Linked DNA regions of Diceros bicornis minor. The protein of the gene in region 1 purifies or fractionates together with the protein of each later gene. This does not show direct contact. Links are inferred from orthologs where the notes say so. Each region holds a gene or a part of one and is shown in the gene's direction. Other genes may lie near its edges.

Region 1 (7,700 bases):
CAAATACTTAATCTGTTTCATATACCCTTCTACCTTCCAGAAAGGGATTCTTTTTCTTTTTTCTTTTTTTTTTTGGTGATGTTCCTTGTAATACAGAGGCTGCTTGTGAATTACTTCCCTCATCATGCAGATTTATAACTCATTCACTCACTTACCTGACCGTATGTACTTCCAGTTACTTACTTGGTTATATTCTCCATGAAAACACTGAGTTTGACTTTCAAAGAAATAAAAGGTAAATAATATCTGCAAATAAGAGTGGATTAAAAAACAGCCAGGTTTTTCTTCTAGTATTGGAACAGATCATGACTTCTCTTGTTGAGTACCAGATGAACTGAATGGCTGGCTTGTGCTTAGCAGCCAGCCTGTATCAAAGGTATGGATCATGAAATGCCAGAATCACACTAAATACGGCGAGATGATCACACCGAGAAAGGCATGTGAGAACTGAGATCAGCAGAAAGAGAAGCTGAGTTATGTCTCCTGTCTCACACATACTCTGAAGAGGAAAATACCTGAGAGCAACAGCAAATCCCCAGAATCATTAAATTTCTTTTTCTTTTTTTTTAAACTTCCCTTTCATTCCACATAGTTGAATTTTCTAAAGTTAAAGAGACTCCCTAGAATAACATAAAGAGTCTAGGTAAGACTGGGAGTAAGAGAGCCTGTGCCCCATTGGGGTTCCCTATGTCCCAGCTAGTAGCCTTGTGTACCTCTTCAAGCCTCAGTGTTCCTATAAAATGAGAGGGTTGCAGAGACCATCTTTAAGTTTTGTTTTGAACATTCCATACTCTATAAAAGGGATATTACCCAGGGAAGTTCAGTTTTATTACACTAAAGCTAATTGGGGAGAACCTTGCAACGTGAGGGATGCTTCCTAAGGGAGAAGGGACAATCCTAGCTTGCCCTGGAGGTTGGGAGAGAAGGAGGAAGAGTGGAGGAGGTCTTGAACATTCGGGAAGGACACTTAGATGGGTGTCAGAGCTCAACACAAGTGAGGTTCCTGCCTTGCAGCTCTGTGGGGGGAGGTGGGGGTGCGTGGGAAGTGTATGCCACAGACAGACGATTACTGTTCCCCATTTGCTAAGTGAGGACCCTTTTATACAAACACTCACGTGATGCATTTGTATGTTTAGCACCTCTTGTTTGAGAAAACACACCAAAACAAAAATTTATTATGGTTTTACTTTGAAATGAATGTTTAAAAATGAATCATCATGGCATCTACATACATATGAAAACTGGCTATGTGTGCAAGAGACATCATTTATGCAGTCTATCCACAATGCTTGGTGCACAGATTCATTTACAGACCTCCCTTAGTAAACCAGCAGCAGCGCACAGGTCAGAAATCAAGTGATTAGACTGATTTTTGGTGTATGAGCCCACCCTTAGTTTTTATGATTATTTTTCTTGTCTTCCCCCCCTTTTCCCACCACCTGGCTGTTTCTCTGGGTCACTGTCAAGCCCCCTGCAGCCCTAGAGCTCTGCAGGCTGATGGAAAGTTAATCCTCAGACTGGTGACGCTTTGAGCAGAGGCTGAAAATCTGACAGTTTGGTCACCACTTGCCCAGAGGAAGGAATGTCTCCATTAGATTAAGTATAGTGCAATGAAGGTACAGCTCTGTGGGGTGCCAAAGTTAACACTAGATCTACATTTATTAACATCAAATGGATGCACAAAGTCTCCAATAACATGATTTTAGACTGGGCTACTCCTTGAGATAAAAGGTAGATTAGCAAGATTTGGCTGACCACATGCTCAGGTTAAACTCAGGCAAGATTCCAAGCAATTCATAACCATTGAAGAGTAAGAGGCATGCAAGTTGAACTAAAAAATAAAAATCTGCAAGTGCTTACTTACCTGTATGATCAAAAACTATTGGAATCAGAGAATTAGTTGACTGACAGGCATTCCAAAGCAGATTTTGAAATCATAATAAGAGTTTAATTTATAAGGGGGTGGATGTTTAAAGCTTCAAGCAAATAATACTAACAAGCAATAGTTATTCATGCTGAAATCTGTCCTATCTTTAAATTAATCAGAATGGCAATAAACATCAACGGCTACTGCTGGCAGTGGTGAGGATGTAACTGAGGCCTTACATCCGGGATCACAGCTTAATTCTTAGGCATGGACATGGGATCTGTAAATTCCGCTTTGGAAATCAACAAACAACATCCCCATAGTGCTACCAAATGTTTTACTATTATGCATGACTCCTTGAAAGTGGAATTTATAAATACTCTCTTGCAAGGAGAACTTTTAGGTGGATTAGCCATAGAGTGACAATAACATCCAGCAAAGGAGAGAAAGAGAAAGATCAAGTGGAGCCTTTGTCTTTAAATTTAATTAATATGACCTTCCTTATTCTTTGGAGAAGAAAATCCAGAAAAATTTTTTGTTTCATTAAAAAAATGGCCTACGATATTATGTTTTAATTAAAATTAAGTTTCCCTATGAATATTAAATTTTTTAAAGCCTCACCAGCAATAGTACATTATTAAAAGCCGCATCACTTATGTCAAAGAAATTTGTACTAGATTTTTAGAAATTCATCATCAGGTTCTTAAATGATTAGTATCCTGAATCTCAAAGTCAAATAATGTTAATACTTCAGTTACCCAGAGCAGAAGAGCAACGTTCATTAACCGCAACGAAGTTCGATGACCTCCAAAACGTTGAAACGCTTAGCTAAAACCGGTATTTTTATCTACCTGTAAAATCTAAAAAAAAAAAAAGGGTTCTGGAAAAAATTTATTACCTTGCCAAAATCAATAGCTCCTCATCCCTCCCCCATTCCACAAATGCTTATGACCCAAACTTTTCGTAGTCTCTCACTTTTTGTTTCACTCCAAGTTCATGCCTTAAAAGGAGGGAGCAAAAGTCCTTTACTTGGCGCAAACTCTGTACCAGTTATTTTATCCTTTAGATAACCTTATTATCACAGCGAGTTCTGGCTTTAGGTTCTTTCTTTCTTTCTTTCTTTTGTGGTGGTGTCATTGTTGGGGGTGGTGTACGGAGGAAGTCAAAGTCCCCGAAACTGCTAAAATATGTGAACAGTACTACTAACGAGTAGAAATTAAAACGAGTGATTTCAAATAAAATAACACATACTCTCAAACTCCCAGAGGGGACCAAAGAAAATATAAAAACACAAAAACTTGGGCTGTTCCAGTACATCTGCAAAAGTGGGAGAGGTGGGAGCGCCCACGAGAAGCGGTGGCCTCCGCCCGCCCGGGCCCGCAGGTGGCTCGGGGAAAGCGCCTCAGACAACAATGGCCAGGATGGGCTTTGCCTGCGTCGCTAGTTTGCTGCGTCTGTCCCTGCCCGAAAAATAATCTATTTCCAAAAAATGACAAAACAGAAAATAGAGCCTGCGTTAGGCTACCAAGGAGGCAGTCCCCCCAATTCTTAATCTCGGATTCCCCATCGCGGTCCAGAGACGAACCTGCCACCAATCATCAAGTTCCTGCGCAAGTTATTTTATTTCCCGCAGCCCTTCCACCTGCCGAGGCGGAGCTCCGCGCACCCCTGGCTTCCCTCCGGCGACCCCCCGCGGGCTGCAGCAAAAACGGGGCGCTTCGGCGGGGCGGGGTCGGGGGCGGGCGGCTGCCTGGGATCCGGCCGGCTACCGCCGCAGCTTGGTGGCCTGCGATTGGCCACGACGCGGGCGGGGAGGGAGGCGGGGGCGAGGGCGGCGGCGGCGGGAGGGGAGAGGAGAGCGGAGCGGGCCGCGCGACCCCGCAGCGCGTGCGGCGAGCGCGGGCAGAGCGGCGGCGGCGGCGGCGGCAGCGGCTAGCCCTGGTCGCGCTCGCAGAGGCCGAGCGCGGAGCGCGGTGCGCGGGCGGGGGTGGGGCTGCGCGCGCGCCGGTGAGCGGCGCGGGGACAGCACCGGCGGGAGGTGTCAGCGCGCAGGCAGCAGGGGCGGCCGCGGCGGCAGCTGCGCGGGACGGAGCCGCGGGGGTAGCGGCCCCGTCGGCCCCTGGCCTCACCCCCGCGCGGCCAAGGCCGGAGAACAATCTTCAACTCTCCGGGAGCGGCAAGGAGAGCCGAGAAGCGGCCCTCAGCTCCCGCGCAGCGGGACTACTGCCCTTTGTGGGCCAGCGCGCACGGCCCGGAGCGCCCTCCCCGGCGTCTTCGTCGTGCCAAGCGGCCCTGGAGACGGGACCCGGAGGAAGCAAAACCAGGAGCCCGAAACCTCGCGTTGCGGAGCTCCTGGGGAGCGCCATCCGCTCCACTTCCACCTCCGCATCCTACACCGGCCAAGGTCCCCGCCGCCTGCATCCCTCCCGGCTTCCGCTGCGCTTGGGGCCGGAGCGAAGCCGCCTGCGCTGCCACAGCGGCCGCCTACACACTACAGACACACACACACACACTCTCTCTCTCTCACACACACCCTCACACGCACGCCCGCCCCCTCCTCCGCCCCCTCCCCAGCTCCTTGATCTCTCGCTCTGTTTTATTACTCCTGGTGCGAGTCGCGGACTCCGCGGCCCGCTATTTGTCATCAGCTCTCTCTCCATTGGCGGGGAGAGGAGAGCAGTGGAGAAGGGGGTGGGGTGGGGAGGGAAAGGGAAGGGGGTGGAAACTGCCTCGAGCCGTCTCTCCGCGCCGCTGTTGGTGCTGCCGCTGCTGCTGCCGCCGCCTCCGGCTCCTCGCTTGGCCCCTCTCCGCCTCCATGTGCCGGATAGTGGGAGCGCCGCGGACCCTGCTGCCGCTGCTGGCGGCCCTGCTTCAGGTACGCGGCGGTCCCCGCGGGCCGGGCCGCGGACGGGGTGGGGCGGGCGGCGCCGGGTCCCTTTGTTCCCCGCGCCGCTGCGGGGCCGGGCTGCGCACCCGGGAAGGGAGGTGCCGCACCGCGCGGCCGGGGGAGCTGCGCAGGCACGAGGCTCGGCCCGGGCGCAGGAGCAGGGCTGCTGGGGCCAGCTGGTCTCGCGCGCCTCTCTTTGCGGGTCCTGAAGGGGCCGATCGCTGGCCCCCTTTGCCCTTCCTGCGGGGTCGGGCGAGCTCGCGGGTGGCGTCTCCACGCAGCAGAAGGATGAGGCAGGATAGCACCCCGGTTTTGCAGCTTTCTACGCTTCTCGCTCCTTGCATTGCACTTTGCTCCAATTTTTTTGTTTATTTCTGCAGGGATGGGTCGCGAGTTTGCAGTAGGAATTCTCACTCTGGTGTCTTAGTTACGGGACTTGCCTTCACCCCACCCCACCCTGACACCCGCGCGCCTCCCGGTGCTCGAGGGCTCCACTGTCCTATTGTCTTGACCCTAGCACAGAGTTGCCTCCTGTTCTTGTTCTCTTGCCTCACAATTTTCTTTGTCGGTTCCACCTGGAGGAAAAACCTCGCCCCCTTGTCCCGAAGAGTCTTTGCGGGCCGGCACCTCCACACCCAGCCCCCGGCCCTGCGCGCCCCTTATCCCGCCGGGCCGGGAGAAGTTCCGTTACTCGGCTATTATTCCTCTCCCTCTGTCCGGCTGCTTCTGTCCTGCGTGCGCCCTGGGGGCGCCTTCCCCAGGAGCCTCCGCACTTTTCACGCCTTCGAGAGAGCGCCAGACGGCCCTTTCATGGGATCTGTGCTAGAGGCTCCTCCGCGGCAGGAAGCACCTGCTCCAGGCAGGTCGGAGGCTCCCTCGCCACCCCGCGCCGCCGGTCCCCAGCCCGGCCGACCGCCCAACTTTCCCGCGGCGTCCGGCCAGAGGATGCCCGAGGCCCCTCCTGGCCAACGAGCAGGGTCCCAGGGAGCGACGCCGCGCGCATCAGCCGCGACCCTCGCGCTGGGCGAGTGCCGGGCGGGGGTCCTGAATCTGACCCCGCGGGCAAGTGGGGTCCCAAAGCGGCTGCAGGAGAGGGGCGTGTCCGCCCTCATTGCGGGACAGGGTCTCCCGGGAAATCCGCCCGAGGGGCTCCCTGCGCACCGCCGGCGGCTGGGGGTGGCCAGCTGGTGGCAGTCCCGAAAAGTGCGGGCGCGGCTCGGAAGTGCCGCTGCGCCGGGGGCGGCCGGGGCTGGGACAGATGGTGCGGATCGCCTCCCTCCATGGTCTTCACGGGTCAAAGCCTGGCGCGCTCCGGCCGGAGGGGGGCCTGCGGGCGCCGGGGGCGGGACGGGGCCGGCGCCCGCGGTCTCTCCGTCCCTCTCCCGCCGCCCCCTAGAGGGGTGTGGGCCGCGGCCGCGCCGAGCCCTGTCCATGGTGCGCCGTGGAGCGGCGCGTCGGGCCCTGCCCGGCTCCGCGCTCTCCTCCCCCGGGTCGTGCTCTCCCACTTTCCGGCTCTCTCCTTCCCACTGCCTCTGTAACCGCCCGTAATTCCTTTCTCCTTTCTTGGGTTTCTCCTTTTGTTCTTTCGTCTCCTGCTGGTCTTTCTCTTTCCCCTTCCCCCACTCGCCCGTCCTCCCCGCTCGGCTCTCTCCTGACTCTGGGGTTTCAAAACTATTCGAGTGGACATTTTTGGCCTCCGCAGTTTTGGGGAGTGGATGGAATTTCTTCTAACTTGGGGGAGGAGACCTGTCAGTCACTTGCTAACAAAAGCACCTCCTGTTATAAAACCGTCCTTTATTCTGGGAGCGCGCACTCTCATTCTTTCACCTCCTGTCACTTCATTTATTGTTTCTTCTTTTAAAATGGGGTTTATTAAAGAGGTTAGGCTGAAGGGGAAGAGGGATAAAAAAGCGCCTTCAAGTGTTTGGAGTTAAGAGAAAGGCAAGATAAACTCAAGAATCCTGTGGACATCAGATATATATATATTTTTAAACAAAGGAAATATAGATCAAAAAATCTTATTTTTAAAAACATTATTTTTTGAACAACAGTGAGTGGTCTTGCTTATTTACAGACAGCTTAAAATACATCCTCAGAGTGTGAGCCTAACAGTAGATGGTATGTTCACTAACTTGATGGGAAAGTAAGTTTTAATTGAATACCGTGTACTGAAGTTAGGCCAGGAGGAGACAGCTTTTGGTCATTAATAACCGTGGTGCTACTGGAACAATCTCATTTCCTCTTTTAGTCATTTGCTTTGAAATCAGGTGTGCATTTTGTAGGTCATTTTCTTTTTTTCCTTACGCATTTTTAAAAATATCATTTATAAACGTCAGATACCATGCTTATCTTTCCCACTGTACGTTCTTTCTCAGTTTCTTCTAGATCTATGTTATGTTGACTTTTATACACCTTCAGGAAAGGGGAAATTATAACTTTGTCATCAAGTTGTTTGGCAGTCTTCTAATTCCTGGGTGCAAGTCAAGCGATGAAGTTGAATGATTTGCAAGGTCATTAGGAGTGAAAGCAGAGGAGTTTATGCAACATCAGTTTTGGGGTTACCTGCACCCATGTCGTTTGTACAGCTGAGATTGGAAATGACTTTGTGCTAATGGTCTGCCTTACACACCAGAATAGCAAAGATCTATCTGCAAGGTGAAATGGCCCTTCTGCAGTCGTCTGCTATTGAAAGTCTAGTTTTTTTCAGGCTGGACTCAAGAACCAAGAGTTTTAGAAAAGAGAGTGAGTAGGCTATTAGTGTAGATACAGAGCAACTTTATTTTTTCAGGCTAGTTAAAGAAGAATAACTGAGTATTCAGAAGGACTTTTTATGCCTTTAGTTAACGGAAGTGTTCCTTGCTTTGCTTTGAACTTTTTTTTCATTTTGAGAGAGATTCTTTACTAGTTTAGTTATTCTATTATCTAGATTTACATAATTCTAGTCAA
Region 2 (7,992 bases), on another chromosome or scaffold:
TGGGCACTCACCCACAGGACCAGGCCGTGGGCAGCCTCTGGCTTCGAGGCTCCTCCCCTGGACAAAGGGCAGCAAAAAACCGGAGAAGCACCCCTCCTCCAGGCCTCGCACCAGCCCACCTCGCTCTTGCTCCTGCAAGGCTTGGGCCCCTCCAGCCAGAAGAGTTTGGGAGCCTGGAGGCTCTTCTGCAGCCAGTGTCATCTCCCCAGCCCTGAAGGGGTCACCCCGAGCAAGTCACCCCCAACTCCAGGGGACAGGGGCAGGCGTGCAAATGGAGGTCCACATACTGTAGTCCAAAAAGTTACATACAAATCAAGCACACAAACTGTTAAATAAGCTATACCTTGATAAGTACAACTTCACAATGACCTGAGAGGCCAGGATGGAACTGAGACTTCTCAGACTCCTCAGAACATGGCAGCCCGGGGATAACCGTCCCCAGGCCTCCAGCCCCTGGGCCATCTCCCCGTCCCTTCGAACCCCTGGGTCCCCCACACCACAAAGGGCCTCCAGCACATGCGTGTAGATACCCCAGCTTGCATATCTGTGCTGTGTCCACCCGTCCCCATAACTGCCCTTGTCACCACTTTGCCTGTGTGTGCTTGTACGACGGGCGGTGCTGCTGTCCTCGGGAGGGGAGGAAGGGCCGGAGTGAGAGACCCCAGGCCCTAGAAGCGGGGTCACTGCTGGGCAAGGAATTTCAGGGTTTCCGCCACCCGGAGTGTGGTCTTGAAGGGGAGAGCCATGAACTCTGTATAGGCTTGTTCCTTTGGCCCTGTGTGGAGGGCACAACCGCAGGAGGGCTGGAGTGGGGCCTTCTGAGGGATAGGACCCAACACAGAGGCCCCTTTCCCAGGTCCACGGGTGGCTCTGCCCCGGGGCTGAGAGCCGGCCTGTGCTCAAGATGCCTCTTCCTTTTCTTATTGCCTTTGATTCCAGCCTGCCACGTGGGAAGCGACAACTCCCGGTTGTCGCTCTCCTTTCCCGCTGCTGTAACTAACGCCAGGGGAGAGGGAGCTGCTGTGTGATGAAGAGGGACCATTGTCAGCCTGAAGTTTAGCAACCCGTCTCTTCACCCCAGTCTCCCTTGATAGAGATGACCATCCCTGAGGCCACCCTAGAGGAAGAGGAGGGATGAAGGGTGTGTGTGTGTGTGTGTGTGTGTGTGTGTGTGTGTGTATTTGTCTGTTGGGGAGAAAGCGTTGATGCGTCTGGTGTTTGCGTATCTGAATCTGTGCCCATGAGTGTATATCCCTGAGGTGTGAGCACGGAAGGTTGTGTGTGTTTGTGTGTGTGGCTTGTGCAGATCTAAATCTCCTCAGCCTCTGTCTGGGGAAGGGACCCCACAGAGAAAGGGCCAAGTTTGAACAGACAACAGAAACTCTTACCTCCTTATATGGCCCAGAGGCCTCCTGGCGGGGAGGGGAAGTGAGATGAGCCTGGAGGGCACTGGGCTGTTGTTCACCTTCCCTCAGGAAAGCGCCTGCCCATCCCCCACCAGCTCCCCTCCCTCCCAACAGCCCCTCCTTGGACCCCTCTTTGCTAGTAGCTTCTGTCTCTGGGACAGCTTGGGATGGGCCACTGGGTGCTCTTTCCTTCTTTACTTGAGGCCCCAGAAATCTGCAATGTTGAATTAACCATATGTGATCTTGACGGCCCAAGGACGCTGCTTCCACTGAGCTCTGGGCAAGAGAAATGAGTTTAAATTGCAGCAATACAAATTGAGGCTAGACATCAGAAGGAACTTACCAGTGTTAGGATAAGGAGACAAGGACATTCATATATGGGAGGCTGGAGACTCTCCTTTCCTGGAGATTTGTCAAACAGAGAAATCCCTGCCTTCAAAGGCTTGGAGGCAGGGGACTGGGTAAGATGGTCTTGTGGCCTTTCCTTCAAGCTCTAGTCATAGAGGAGACTGCTGCACAGCGACTCTCATCCCCATCCCTAGGCACCTCCTTGCCCTGTGAGACCAAATCCCCTACACAGACAGCTGATTCTGGTCAACATCATTTTCTGTATCCTACAGATGAATCCTCAGTGCCTGGCAGGCACGTAGTAGGTGCTTCATAAATGTGCAGAAAACCCCTTGATCTGGGCGGAGAGACACAGCTGTCATCCCAATCTTTCCTACTGCTGCCGCGGTGCCTCCACCCAGTCCCAGCCTGAGCGCTTAGTTTGGGGCAAGCATGTTGCAGCATGTTCCAGGCTGACAAGCAGGGAACATTCTGGGGAGACACACACACACACACACACACACACACACACACACACACACATGCACATAGGCTTTATTCTGAAGCCTTATTTCTGCCCCTCCACCCGATCCAGGTTCCTCCACCCCTCTGCAGCCAACCAGCCCTGCCCTGCCCGTATGCGGAAGTCAGGAGAAAGGAAGGAGTTGAGCCAGGCTTGAGTCTGGGAAGTGTGTGTGTGTGTGTGTGTGTGTGTGTGTGTGTGTGTGTGTGTAGGCAGGGGAGGGTGTGGGAAGGTGGGAAGTGGGCAAGGGAAGGTGGGAAGTGGAAGAGGGAGGAAGTGAAACCCTGGCGACGGCAGCAGCCTAGGATTTCGAGCTCCTTTCCCCCCAAGCTGGGGGCTGGCCACTGCACAGTGTGGCAGGGTGCTGAGCAGGTGGGTGGGGCAGGGGTAAGGTATGGAGAAAGATACTGAGTAAGCTGGAGGAGGGGGAGGAAGGGAAATGAAGCACAGGGCAGTGGCACGTGGGATGGTACCTGGTTAGGGATGTTGATGTCTCCCTGCCCCCTCCAGGAAGACCTCTTGGATGGCACAAGCCTCAGAAGTGCGACTGTTTGGCCATCATTGCAACTGTTTAGCCATCATTGCTTTCTCTGGTGGGGAAAGCGGTCAAGGATGCTGCAGGGCTTCCTTCACCCAGCCCACCTGTGTGCGAGCTTTGGGGCTATAATGCTTCTTTGAGGGAGGACCCTTTCCCGAACAACCCCTCTCCCTACACACACACACACAGAGCGGCTGAGGTGACCTGTTTACACTTAGCCCTCTGGAGCCCTTTGAGGGTTGGGATCATTTTGATTTTCCATGTTACCAGTGCCTAACCCAGTGCCTTGCATACAGTTGGTGCTCTATTGATGAATGAATGTCTGTAGGACCCCTGGCACACTGTACTGCCACCAGCAGGCACTCATTTCATCAGCCACAGAAAGAGAAGACTCTTATCTTCTTAAGCTGCCTATTGGGAAGTTCTTTCTTTCTTTCTTTCTTTCTTTTTTTGTGAGGAAGATCAGCCCTGAGCTAACATCCATGCCAATCTTCCTCTTTTTTTTGCTGAGGAAGATCGGCCCTGAGCTAACATTTATTGCCAATCCTCCTCCTTTTTTTTTTTTTTTCCTTTTCTCCCCAAAGCCCCAGTAGATAGTTGTATGTTATAGTTGCACATCCTGCCAGTTGCTGTATGTGGGACGTGGCCTCAGCATGGCCGGAGAAGCAGTGTGTCGGTGCGCACCTGGGATCCGAACCCGGGCCGCCAGTAGTGGAGCACGCGCACTTAACCGCTAAGCCACGGGGCCGGCCCCGGACGTTCTTTCTGATAACTAACCCAGACTCTTCCACTACTGAGGGGCCTGCTGCCCCATTTCTTTTAGGCAGTGTTGATTTCCTTGCTGCCTGATTTCTTCCAAACCCACCAATACTTTCTCAGTCTTTGTCCCTTTCACAGGGATTTCTCTGTTTGACAAATCTCCAGGAAAGGAGAGTCTCCAGCCTCCCATATATGAATGTCCTTGTCTCCTTATCCTAACACTGGTAAGTTCCTTCTGATGTCTAGCCTCAATTTGTCCCTTTGTCCCAAATCACTACTCTTCTGTCTCTCCCCGGAATTTGTTTTTGCCTTTTCCCCGGCCCCTCCCCACTGCTTTGACATTTTATGTCGGTGCTATATTCCACCAGGAGAACATGTAGTTTGGTGAGCCTTGAAATGAGAAGAAAGGGGTTCTAGTTTAGGATGTGCCACTTTCTAGTTTTGTGACCTCTCTGAACCTCAGTTTCCTCATCTTTGAAATGACAATCATTTTGTTGTCCTAACAATTTTTCAGAACTGTCACGAGAATTAAAAAAAAAGTCATTAATTTAAATTGTAACATTTAGCAATTGTCCAAGTGATTTCACAAACTTTACTTCATTTCATCCCCACATACTCCCTTGAGAGAGAGATATAGCCAATGTACCCATTTTACAGAGGAGGAGAAACAGGGTGAGATGAAGTAACTTGCCTAAGATCATATAGCTCCTAAGTGGCAGAACCCAAACTCAGGCCTTCTGATTCTAAATCTCAGGAGCATTCCATCTTTCAGGAAAAAATTCCCAAACCAGCTAATAGCCTATGAAGTGCTATACAAACATCTTATTACCACTTTGTGGCAAGGGTGAATAAGCCCAAAGAAGCATTATTCCTGACGCTGAGCTGGCTGGCTGGTGAAAGCGTCTGTCCTTTCCCATGGCGCCTCCTGACTCACCTGTTGGACAGGTAGGGGGAAGGGGAGAGTAATGAGTCTTACCTGCTCAGAGCTAGGGTGGGGCAAGACACACCCCATCCCTCCCATTGGTTCTTTCCTTAGTCTTACTGACGACACCTTGCCCAATCAGGAGGAAGTAACCTCCTATCTGCCAATAGGTGCGGAGTTAGGATGGAACCTCAAGTTGGAGGCCGTCCCCAGAGCCGACTGGCAGTCTCTGGTGCCAATGGCCAGAGGATAAACAGAGGTGGCGATGGAAGAGAACTGGGCGCGAGGCTCCGCCCCTCGATGGGACAGTCAAGCGAGGCAGCCAGTGAGCCCGCATCAGCGGGTGGGCGTCTCCCTCAGGGGCGGAGCTTCGAGGGGGCGAGAGGCGTGGCTTGGCTGTCAGGTCCCTTCGCCTTTTGTTCGGTTACTGAGTTGCTGCCTTGGCCAGAGTCCGGAGCAGCCGCCGCCCGAGCGCGCCGACCTCAGTTCGCCGCCCGCGCCGGCTCCCATCCCGGCCCGACCCCTGCCCAGCCCGGCCAGGCTCCACACGCAGGTGCGGACGATCGGGGCAGGTAGCGCTGGGGCGAGAGAAGGGCGGCGAGCGGCCGAGAGAGGCCAACCCCCGCCGTCTCAGGGCAGGTGAGGGCGGGTGTCAGGGAGCGCCTCCCTGCACCGGCGGCAGGGGGCGCGCTGGGGTCCTGGGCGCGGCGGCTAAAGGGGCGCGAGGTTCGGGCCGGGTGCGCTGAGGGGCTGCGTGAGCCGGAGATCTGGGAAGGGTGGAGAGGGATCAGGGCAGGTGTCTCCGGGGTCGCGCCTCCGCCGGGGCCGCGGAGCCCGCCCGACGCCGCGTCCCTGACTCTCACCCTGACTCTTGCGGGGGAGACTTTGACCTGCTCCGCCTGCGTCCCAGGGCTCACTCTGTAGTCAGGAATTTACTGTTTGAAAACTTGCTGCCGCTGGTCTCTTTGGGGCCACCCTCACCCCACCTCACGCGTCATCCTCGCTTTCCCTCCCTCCCTACTCCCCCAGGCCTGGGTGGGGCCCTATTGTCTGCGCCCGGCTTGCCCAACTGTGGGGCCGAACGCACATTTTCCAAGCGACGCGGGCCCCACCTGCCGAGCAGGTGAGCACACGGAGTCCAGAGGCTCTGCCCTCCAACTCCCGGAGCTTCGTCGGTTCTGTACCTGTGGCGCCTCCCTCCGCTCTGGTGGGTGCCGGGCTGTGGCTCCGCCAGGGGTGCTGGGATGGGATGAGAGTGGGACTGGTGCAGGGCCCGGCTCCGCGCCCAGCTGGGGTCTGGCACCAGTGGCTCGGACAGGGGTCTGGGCAGAGGGGTCGTGCATGGGTAGAGAATTCACTGGCCCAGTTTCCAGTAGATGCCGCTTCCAGAGTGTTGATATGGGAACCGGACCATTCTTCTTCTCTATCCTCTTATTGTCGGAAAAAGCACCCAAAACAAACTTTCCAGGAGGAAGTATTCACAGCAGCTTTCTCTGGGGGTTTTCCTGCCTCCTTACCCAGGGCGTCCCCCCAGGCTTACGGGGTCCATCTTGAGCAAAGCCCCCTCCCCCAGCCGGCCAGGCTGAACCAGGGCCAGTGCCTGCGCTGTGACCCTGCCTCCCCGCCCCCACTTCCATCCTGTTTGCTGGGCCCCTGGGGCCTGAGGTGGGGGCCGGGGTGGGGGGGGTGGGCCGAAAGGGGAAGCAGCTTCTTCCTTCTCTTCCTGCCTCCGGGGACCACCACACCCCCTCGCTTGAGGCCTGCGCAAGTGGCTTTCTCCCCAGCTCTGCCCCCCTCCCCAGGAATGGGGGTGGGGCAGGGCCGGGCCAAACAGACGGGGGTGGGGGGAGCGATTGTTCTTTTTTTTTTTCTCTACCCCATCCCCCACATTGTTTTGCTGGCTGGCAATTGAGGCCTAAGAGCAAAGAGCAATGTTGCTTGATTTCCATTTGCCTTCTGGATTTTGAAGGTGCATTCCTTCTGGAGGCTTTGCAGTCCATTCCCCACCCACCCCCTTTCCTGAGAGTTTGATTGGGAAAGTTGGGACAGGAGGAAGGATTCTGGGGGGAAGGTTTCAGGCAGAGCTGCATTAGCCACCCCCACCCCCCCCATTTCTTGAGAGCCCCTTCCCTGGCCAGAGTTGGGGATCTCCACCAGGCTTTCACACAGGTTTTAAGAAATCTGAAGTGTGGTCTTTTTGCAGAGATTTGGAGCCCAGCCTCCTTGAGGAACAGAGGGGGAATGTAGGAGCCAGGTTCTCCCTGAGTCCTGGGGTGAAGGGAAGACTTGGGGGGAAATTGGGGCTGCTTGCCCTGACTCACTTGGGAAGACCCTGTGGCCTCTTTGGTGGTTGGAGATGGGAGAGTGGGGGCAAAGGTCAGCCCCACTCCTATGATGTGCCCCTGGGCAGGGATCAGGCCCTACTCTGGGTTAGGGGGAGACTGAGGAGAGAACCCCCTCCCTCTTCTGCTCTAGTGGGTGGGGTACCTCTGGGGAGCCACAAGGGTATGGAGTTTGGGCAAAAATAACCTGTTTTCCCTCCTCTGTGCCAAAGTGGAGGAGGGGAAGGCATTGTAATTACATTGGTTAAATGATTAGTTTAGCTAATCTGGTTTGTGGCTGTGATGAAAAGACAATATTGAGGAAGCATTGCTAGGAGGTGCCTGGTGAAAGCTGGCTGCTTACTGGACAGGAGGGAGAAGGGAAAAAAAGGCAGGATCCAATTAGTCATTCCTTGCTAGATCAAGCCCCAGCTTGGGTGACTTGAGCCCTCTCCACCCCCTCCACCCTGCCCCACCCCTGCACCCCAGCTCCACCCCATTCCCTCTGGACCTTCTGCTTGGGCTGCTGGGGCTAAGGCTTTGAGAAGGCAGTGTGTGGGAATGGAGGAGATCAGGCTAGGGCTGGCAGCCATGGGACAGGTAGATGTGGGGGTGGGAGGGTGGTGGTGGTAAGGGGGCATCTCTCCCTGACCTGGGAGGGGTTGGGCAGAGGAGCCACCTTAGAATGAGATGGGGCAATTGACTCGCCTACTGAAGGGCTGTTTTTGTGGAGAGATGTTACAGTGGGGCAGTTCTGAACACTGCGATTTCGGCTTAGACTGAGCTGGGTTTGAATCCCAGCTCTGTCAGTCATTACCTGTGTGGCCTTGGTCAAGTCACTTCACCTCTCCAAGCCTCAGTGACCTCCTTGGCAGAATGGGAATAATAATACCTACCTACTCAGTAGATACTTGACACATGGTCACTTAAAAGGTGAGGGAGGACTTTACAGATACCAAGTACTTTCATTGACTGTTCTCACTTAATCCTTGTGGCTATCCCTAGAGGCGGGTGTCCTAACCCCATTCTACAGGTGAGGAAATTGAAGTTAAGTAACTTGCCCAAGGTTGCACAGCAAGACCCAAGCAGAGCCAAGACTGGTGTTTGGGTCCTCTGGCTCCAAACCTAGAGCTCATCCTGCTGTATCATCCCCACTGGGAAGAATTTTTCTGCCATCCCTTTTTGAGAGCCTCTGC
Region 3 (7,297 bases), on another chromosome or scaffold:
ACGCGTGCATACACACACACACACACACACAGAGACACAAGCAAGCAAGCCAAAAAAAAAGAACAGAAGGCAGAACAACGCTTGTTTATGGCGTCTGTTGCTGTGGAATCAAGACTTGATTAGGCAGGTGGAGTACCAGCATAGGTGATTCTGTGGCCTTGTAAGGAAAATATAAATATTATATCCCCTTGTGAATATTATTGTTGTCAGGATTAGATTAATTTTCAAGAAGTGGAGAGGACTCACTTTTTTTTTCTTAATCCAACACCATTTTAGTTAAATCTTGTGTTAGTAGAATTTGTAAAGGGAATGATAAATGGCCATCCTACCCAGGGCTTCCAAAATGACAAACTTCAGGGGCTGGCCCAGTGGTGTAGTGGTTAAGTTTGCGTACTCAGCTTCGGCGGCCTGGGGTTCTCAGGTTTGGATCCCGGGTGCGGACCTACAGACTGCTCATCAAGCCATGGCGTGGTGGTGTCCCACATATAAAATAGAGGAAGACTGGGGGCCGGCCCAGTGGCCTAGCGGTTAAGTTCGTGTGCTCTGCTTCGGTGGCCTGGGGCTCGCAGGTTCAGATCCCGGGCGTGGACCTGTGCACTGCTCATCAGGCCATACTGTGGCAGGCGTCCCACATAAAAAAAGTAGAGGAAGATGGGCACGTAGGCCGGCCCTGTGGCTTAGCGGTTAAGTGTGCGTGCTCTGCTACTGGTGGCCAGGGTTCGGATCCTGGGTGCACACCATTGCACTGCTTCTCCAGCCATGCTGAGTCTGAGTCCCACATACAACAACTAGAAGGATGTGCAACTATGACATACAACTATCTACTGGGGCTTTGGGGAAAAAACAAAAATAAACCTTTGTTAAAAAAAAACAACAAAAAAAGATGGGCATGGATGTTAGCCCAGGGCCAATCTTCCTCAGCAAAAAGAGGAGGATTGGCAACAGATGTTAGCTCAGGGTTAATCTTCCTCACCAAAAAAAAAAAATGGAGAAAGATTGGCATAGATGTTAGCTCAAGGATAGTTTTCCTCAAGCAAAAAGAGGAGGATTGGCAACAGATGTTAGCTCAGGGCTAATCTTCCTCACCAAAAAAAAAAAAAAAATAGATGAAGATTGGCATAGATGTTAGCTCAAGAGTAGTTTTCCTCGAGCAAAAAGAGGAGGATTGGCAACAGATGTTAGCTCAGGACCAATCTTGCTCACCAAACAAAAGACAACCTTGGGATGGTAATGTGTAGCCATCAGAGGGTAGAAAGGAGTGAAAATATTTTGTTTTCTTTCGTATGCATAGCCAGTATTTTTGCTGGAGTTGAATTTTGTTCATTTCTTCTCCTTGGCATTTATGGTTTTAGTCTGTTTTACAAGTAAAGTCATCACAGCACAGCACTCTGCCCTGTATAATTTTAATATTGCTTTTTTAAATACAATTTTATTTCCCAGCTCTTCCTTAATCTTTCACCATTTTATGGTGTCTTATTTTCCTTTGTGTGTAAGTGGTGATGGTTGTGGGTGGGGAGGTTAAACTTTGAGAGTTGTAAAAGCGAGCACAGAATGTAATATTCCATGCATTTAAAACAAAACAAAACAAAAAAAGAAAGGAAAAAAGGAAAGGAAAAAAAAACCCCAAAGCAGAAACCACCCTGTATCTCTAAACATAAACTCTATTGGTTGACTTCTCTCCATTTTTACTGCTACCACTGTAGTCAATTCCATGTCACTACAACTTGACCTTCAAACTAATTTCCTTGCTTTCACTCTTGCCTCCTCTTTAATCCATTTGTCACGTAAGCAGCCAGATCTTTTCAAAATGTGAGTTAGATCATGTCATTCCGCTGTTTAAAACTCGCACAGGTCTTCCTCTACCTAAGAATAAAATCGAAACTTCCTCTAACCTATAGAACCCTTCATATTCTGATTCCTGCCTGTCCCGCCCTGCTCATTACCAATAGCTCTGCTGGATCCAGTATGTTTTAGCCCCACTCTTTAGGGCTTTGGCATTAATAGTTATCATTGCTCATATGTTATCATGGTTGACTGCTTCTTACCATTCAGATTTCAACTTAAATGTCACCTCTCCTGAGAGTTTGTCCCTGATATCCAATCTACAAGTAACAAGTCATTCTCGACAGTTTGTTTTAGATCTCTCCATAGTGCTCCATCTGACATCTTATTTATAATCTCTCTCCCCCTGCTAGAATGTAGGCTTTTCGAGAGCAGGAAACTTGTCTGTCTTATTATCCTTGACATCTAGAAGAGTACCTGGCTCACAGTAGGTGCTCAAAATAACCCAAGTGGAACTAGTCTTTTTATTTTCTATTAGCTGAGTGTAAACAGTTTTTCCCTCAGTGAGTGTTAATGCTTGTGGTGCTTTATTTGGAGATAGCTGTTTCAGATAAATTTAAACAACTTTTTCACCACTGAGTTATCTTTTTTAACTTGTATATAATTTTATTTTGAATGTTACCTATAAATTCATTAATGTTAAATGACTTGTTCAGGATTACATAATTAGTAAGCCAAGAGACTTCATTCACTTATTCATATGTTGCTAAGTATGAGATATAAGGCTGAGCTCTGGGGATACAACATGAACTAGAAAGACACTGTTCATGCCTTCATGGAACGTATCTTTGGGTAGGGGAGACAGGAAAATACATACACACACATGCGCGCATGTACATGAAAAAGGAAGGCAAAATACTTGCCAGTTGTTAGTGGTGATGTGAAGGAAACAAGACCGATCCATCTCTAGTAAATCATAGAATATTCTAGAATATGGCTTTGATCTAGGAATCAGTGAATCAATGAACATTTCTTGTGCTGATTGTTTTCCTTTGGCAATTATCTTTGGCTTTTGAAATATAATAATAATAACTCAGTGAGTTTATACTATATACCATACATTGTTTTAAGAAATTTATATGTATTTCAATTCTCACAACAGTCCTGTGAGAGAGATATAGTTATTATCTCCATTTTACAGTTAAGGAAACTGAGGCACAGAGAGATTATATAATTTGTCCAAGGTCATGTAGTAGTACCCTTACTCCAGTAAGTATGCTTACAGAGGAGGAAGGTTTGAAGCCAGGCAGTCAGACTGCAGAACCTATGCTCTTAACCACTATTCTAGGTTATGAAAACTTTATGAAGATTCGTTTGGCAGTAATCTACAGGATAGATTTTAGATTTTTCAGTAAGAAAGAAGGAAATTTTCCATTCATCATTATCATCTTTATTTAGTAACCACGGAATGACCATAAAATACTAGTAGTCTTTGTCAAGCGTGAAAAAAAAATCCAATCGCTTCCTTCATGGCCTAACAGTCTAAGAACATATTAAGGGATAACTCTTAATTCAGAAAAAGAATACCTGTATAATTCTTTATTTAGGTCAGGTGTAAAAAGAGAATGTATGAACTAGATCATCTTAAGCTTGAAGTTCACAAAGAAATCACATTTTCTTGATATGAGACTTACTTATCCTTACACATGCTGTTATCTCCTCTAAATATATTCCTTGTTTATTGGATTCCATTTATTCTCCTCTATAGACCCACATTATTTTGATTTGGAGACAGAAGGGAAGACAGCGATTTTCCTCAGCAGCCCAATGGATTCAGTTTCCTTATAGTTGAAAGTATAGACACTTAAAACTGTTAACAAGTCCAGGCATTTATTTTTTTCTAATTAGCTCTAATGCAGTTAAACTAAAACAATGAAATTGAGAGTTTACCTCAGATCTCCCCTACCATCCCAATCAACACATAGTAGTCCTGTTTCTAGGCTTTCTGTCTCCTTCCCTTCCCGTCTTCCTTTGGGAAAACGCTTTGGGGTGGAAAGCAACAAACCAAATAGCAGGCAAATAAAATCAGGTCTTCTCTGTTTCCCTACCCGGAAAGGAAGAGAGAGGGAGCAAGAACCCCACCATCAAAGAGAACCAAGGCTTAGGTGTGCCATTCTAAAAAGCCCTCGTTCCTTCGGCCTGCCTGGAGCTCTGCAGCAATTCCTCAGAGATTGTATAGTCTCCACTTTAAATATAAATATATATATAAAACTTCCCCCTGTCTCTTTCTCTCCTCCTCTCTCCTTTTTTTTTTTTTTAATTTCCTATAATAAAGTTTCCTATTGGATAAAATCAGTTCCCTGATTTATGCCTGGCTCCTATTGGAAGTTCTCAGGGGCTGACATCACTTAGGAAAGCGAGGGGGTAGGGCTGCCAGATCAGTTTGTCACCACCCAGGCTCTCTAGCCTTTGGCTGGGTGCAACTTCCATTTTAGGTGTTGGATCTGAGAGAAAAAAAAAGAGAGAGGGAGAGAGAGAAAGAAGAGTAGGAAAGATCCTGAAAGGAGGAAGAGGTGGCGAAAAATCAACTACCTTGCTGGATTTGTCTTTCTCAGCACATTGACGAAGCCTTGGGTTTCTTTCTTAAAGGACTGGTTTTTAGAAGTCCACATTTGAGGTGTGTGCCTTTTTAAAAATGTGTATACAGACGGGTAAAGGAAGATAAGCCAAATCGAATTTTTGTCTTACGGTAACCAGAGGGAATTTACAAACAAGAGTCTGCTATGCTGACGGGTGACTTTTAAGCAATTACTACTTTTCCTTTCTACTTACTTTGGGGAATTTCGGTATTTTATTGTATTAAAAAAAGGTTAAAATATTTCAAGACCCAGAAACAAACTTCTAGGTCTCTCTAATATAGGGGCGATGAGTAGACTCAGAGGGGTAAGAGCAATTGTGTAAATTTACATTTTGATGTGTTCTTTTATTTTATATATTTTTTCTGGATTAAGCTAACAAACTTCTGATTTCAGAGCCCAAACCAAAAGTTGGCATGTTGCGTGTGGGTTGGGAAAGGAATTTGTCTGGGTCAGAAGCTAGTTATACAGATGGTTCTTCATATGTTTCAAAACTTTTTTTCCCCTTTTATTATTAGATTCATGGAAGTGGAAAGTTGCAGGGAGCTTTGCAGCTTAAATTGTGGTGTTTTTTTCCCCAGAGAGTTTGAACGGCCCAGATCGGTTTCAGCCTTGCTGTTCCTGGGTGGATCCCTCTTACTTTTCCAGGTGCGGTGGGTGGGAGCCTCATTCTCCTGCTAGACGTAGCCTCCTTGCTTTGCCTTATAACAGAAAACAAATGGATCCATGTTAACTGAATTGCCATTCCTTTCCTCCTTAAACTACCTTTGATTGCAAAAATTTGTGGAGGTGTTGTATGTTCAGTCTGCAAATACTACCGGTAACGTTTGGTTTCTGTGCTTAAAGGGATAAGGAAATTCTAATCATGTTTTTTAGTTCACCTTAGTAAAGTGGCAGTACACCTGAAAATATTTTCAGCTTTGTGCTTTCTGAAAGGGCTGTGGATTAAATAAGGTTAGGCCAAGAGAAAACAAACTTTAGTGTTTAGAATGCATTCGAGAAAGCACAAGGGGAATTCTTAATTTTAAACCAAACTGAAAGTTGTTTTTTGGAGGTGAGTTTTTTGTTTCGTTAATTTGCTGTGAAATCAGAAATCTGTAAGAGCTGAAGGCCCATGACTGTTGGCATATCTTATATTTCATCTTAAGATTTGTTTTGTTTTTGTTTTCGCGAATACATTCTTGCAGAAATACTGATTCTAGATAATTATATAGCCAACTCATCAGTAGCTGAAAACCGGGTGTTCTCTTCCTTCTCCCTTTGAAAATGTGAATCGGTCTGAAAATTGTAGCTGGAAAAGATGCTGCCCTAATTGTAACAAGATGGGCTTTAATATGTAAGCTACTCGTTAGCTTTAAACTGGGATGTTTCTTTAATAATCCTCTGATTTTGTGCCTCCCTCCCCCCAATTCTTTTTAGACTAGAACACTTCGTTGAATTCCTTTTCTAGAATGAAAGTATCTCTTGAAAGGTGATTTCATCTTTGTGAGGTTGTGGCTTCAGGGGAAACAGAACTTTGTTTCTCCTTTTAATCTACTATCATCTATGCAAGGGCTACAGTAAAATTTTAATGTCTGGATCTCATAATTATAGCAAGTGTAGCTAAAAAGAAAGAAAAACGACAACATGTACAGTCTGTTGGGCTGTAGTTCTTATTTAATATTTTCCAAATTTCTCTCAAATGTTCTCTCTGCCTTGACTCCAGCCTAGGGATGTTTCTTGGTGGATCTTTGGAGGGTTGGTCATGTTTCTGCCAGAGTGTCGGTTTCCCACTCAACCTTTAGGGGGAGGGATGAGGGAATCTGAAGAAGGGAGTACAAAGGCAGTTTGAAAATAGGTTCTGGATGACTGAGTGGTGGTGATTTGGGTCCAGCTTTAAATACTGGGCTTTGTGTAGCTGCAGAGAGCATCCTAGTTAACTAGCGTCCAGGAGTATTTCTGCGAACTGAGGCATTGTTTTGACTGGTGTGTACTGTGAAGGCTTTTGGATGATAAGATGGAAGATTTGTCTTCTACCTCACCTCTACTAGTTCTTTCAGGAAATATAATAAAGGACAGGAATAAGTAAATCTTTTATGTTTTGTTGTGCTCCTCATTTTAATTTTGGGGTGAAAAATGATGACAAGTAAGTATGAGTTGTGCAGATTTTTCTTTCCTTGTTTGACTCCTATATACTGTTGGTTTCTTTGTTATATGACTAAGGTAGCGGGTCTGTGTGCCAGGTGGGAGTCTCCTTTGGGTGGTTAGAATTCTAGTGCCTTTCTTAGGGTTCCAATTAGGGAGAGTCAGAGGGGCTAGAACATGTTCTCTCAGCTAGTATAAAAATTGGGGCTATTGGAGATCTTAAAAAAAAAAAAAAGCTCCGAGTAATTGCAATTCAGCCTTAGGTTTATGAGGTAGTTGCTCTCTAGGGATGGGTGAGACAGGATGGATGCAAATAAATTAAGCATAGTTCACTATTCAGTTGGAATAACAAAATGATTAGCTCTGTATAATTTATTGCTTTCTATTTTGGTACCTGATGGTCTTCTGTTACTAACTGCCAGTCCTCCCTCTCCCACCCTCCCTTGTTTTTTTTACTGTGTGCTAAGCATTTTGCATAAACTATGTACTTAATTTCCCACAACAACTGTTTTTTTTTTGGTAAGGAATTTGAGCCTTAGAGAAGCTGAGGTTCACTGAAAATCTCATTGCCTGTAAGTGGCCAAAGCTAGGATTAAACCCTGGTCTGACTAACTACCAAGTCCGTGGACATAACCACTAATACATTGCCATTCTCCAGAGAGAACAGAAACAAGAGCCAGAACTAAAATGAGCCCTTGCTAGAGGCAGGTGTTTGATCTTGGGGAGGGTCAGTCCTCACTTAGATTTCTAACCCA

What was found.
Region 2: the proteins of CDH2 (region 1) and JUP purify together in Homo sapiens (co-immunoprecipitation; 4 studies listed by BioGRID and IntAct, with this or other methods). This does not show direct contact. The link is inferred for Diceros bicornis minor from reciprocal best matches to the Homo sapiens genes CDH2 and JUP.
Region 3: the proteins of CDH2 (region 1) and CTNND1 purify together in Homo sapiens (affinity purification with western blotting; 6 studies listed by BioGRID and IntAct, with this or other methods). This does not show direct contact. The link is inferred for Diceros bicornis minor from reciprocal best matches to the Homo sapiens genes CDH2 and CTNND1.

What each region holds. Positions count from the first base shown.
Region 1 is NC_080755.1:23,174,442-23,182,141, reverse strand, and holds the start of CDH2 (cadherin-2), read left to right. Parts: upstream 1-4,681; 5' UTR 4,682-4,682; coding exon 4,683-4,742; intron 4,743-7,700. UniProt on the Homo sapiens protein: Calcium-dependent cell adhesion protein; preferentially mediates homotypic cell-cell adhesion by dimerization with a CDH2 chain from another cell. Cadherins may thus contribute to the sorting of heterogeneous cell types.
Region 2 is NC_080757.1:41,065,557-41,073,548, reverse strand, and holds the start of JUP (junction plakoglobin), read left to right. Parts: upstream 1-4,921; 5' UTR 4,922-5,028; intron 5,029-5,035; exon of another isoform or gene 5,036-5,114; intron 5,115-7,992. UniProt on the Homo sapiens protein: Common junctional plaque protein. The membrane-associated plaques are architectural elements in an important strategic position to influence the arrangement and function of both the cytoskeleton and the cells within the tissue.
Region 3 is NC_080770.1:16,229,110-16,236,406, reverse strand, and holds the start of CTNND1 (catenin delta-1), read left to right. Parts: upstream 1-4,239; 5' UTR 4,240-4,459; intron 4,460-4,999; exon of another isoform or gene 5,000-5,066; intron 5,067-7,297. UniProt on the Homo sapiens protein: Key regulator of cell-cell adhesion that associates with and regulates the cell adhesion properties of both C-, E- and N-cadherins, being critical for their surface stability.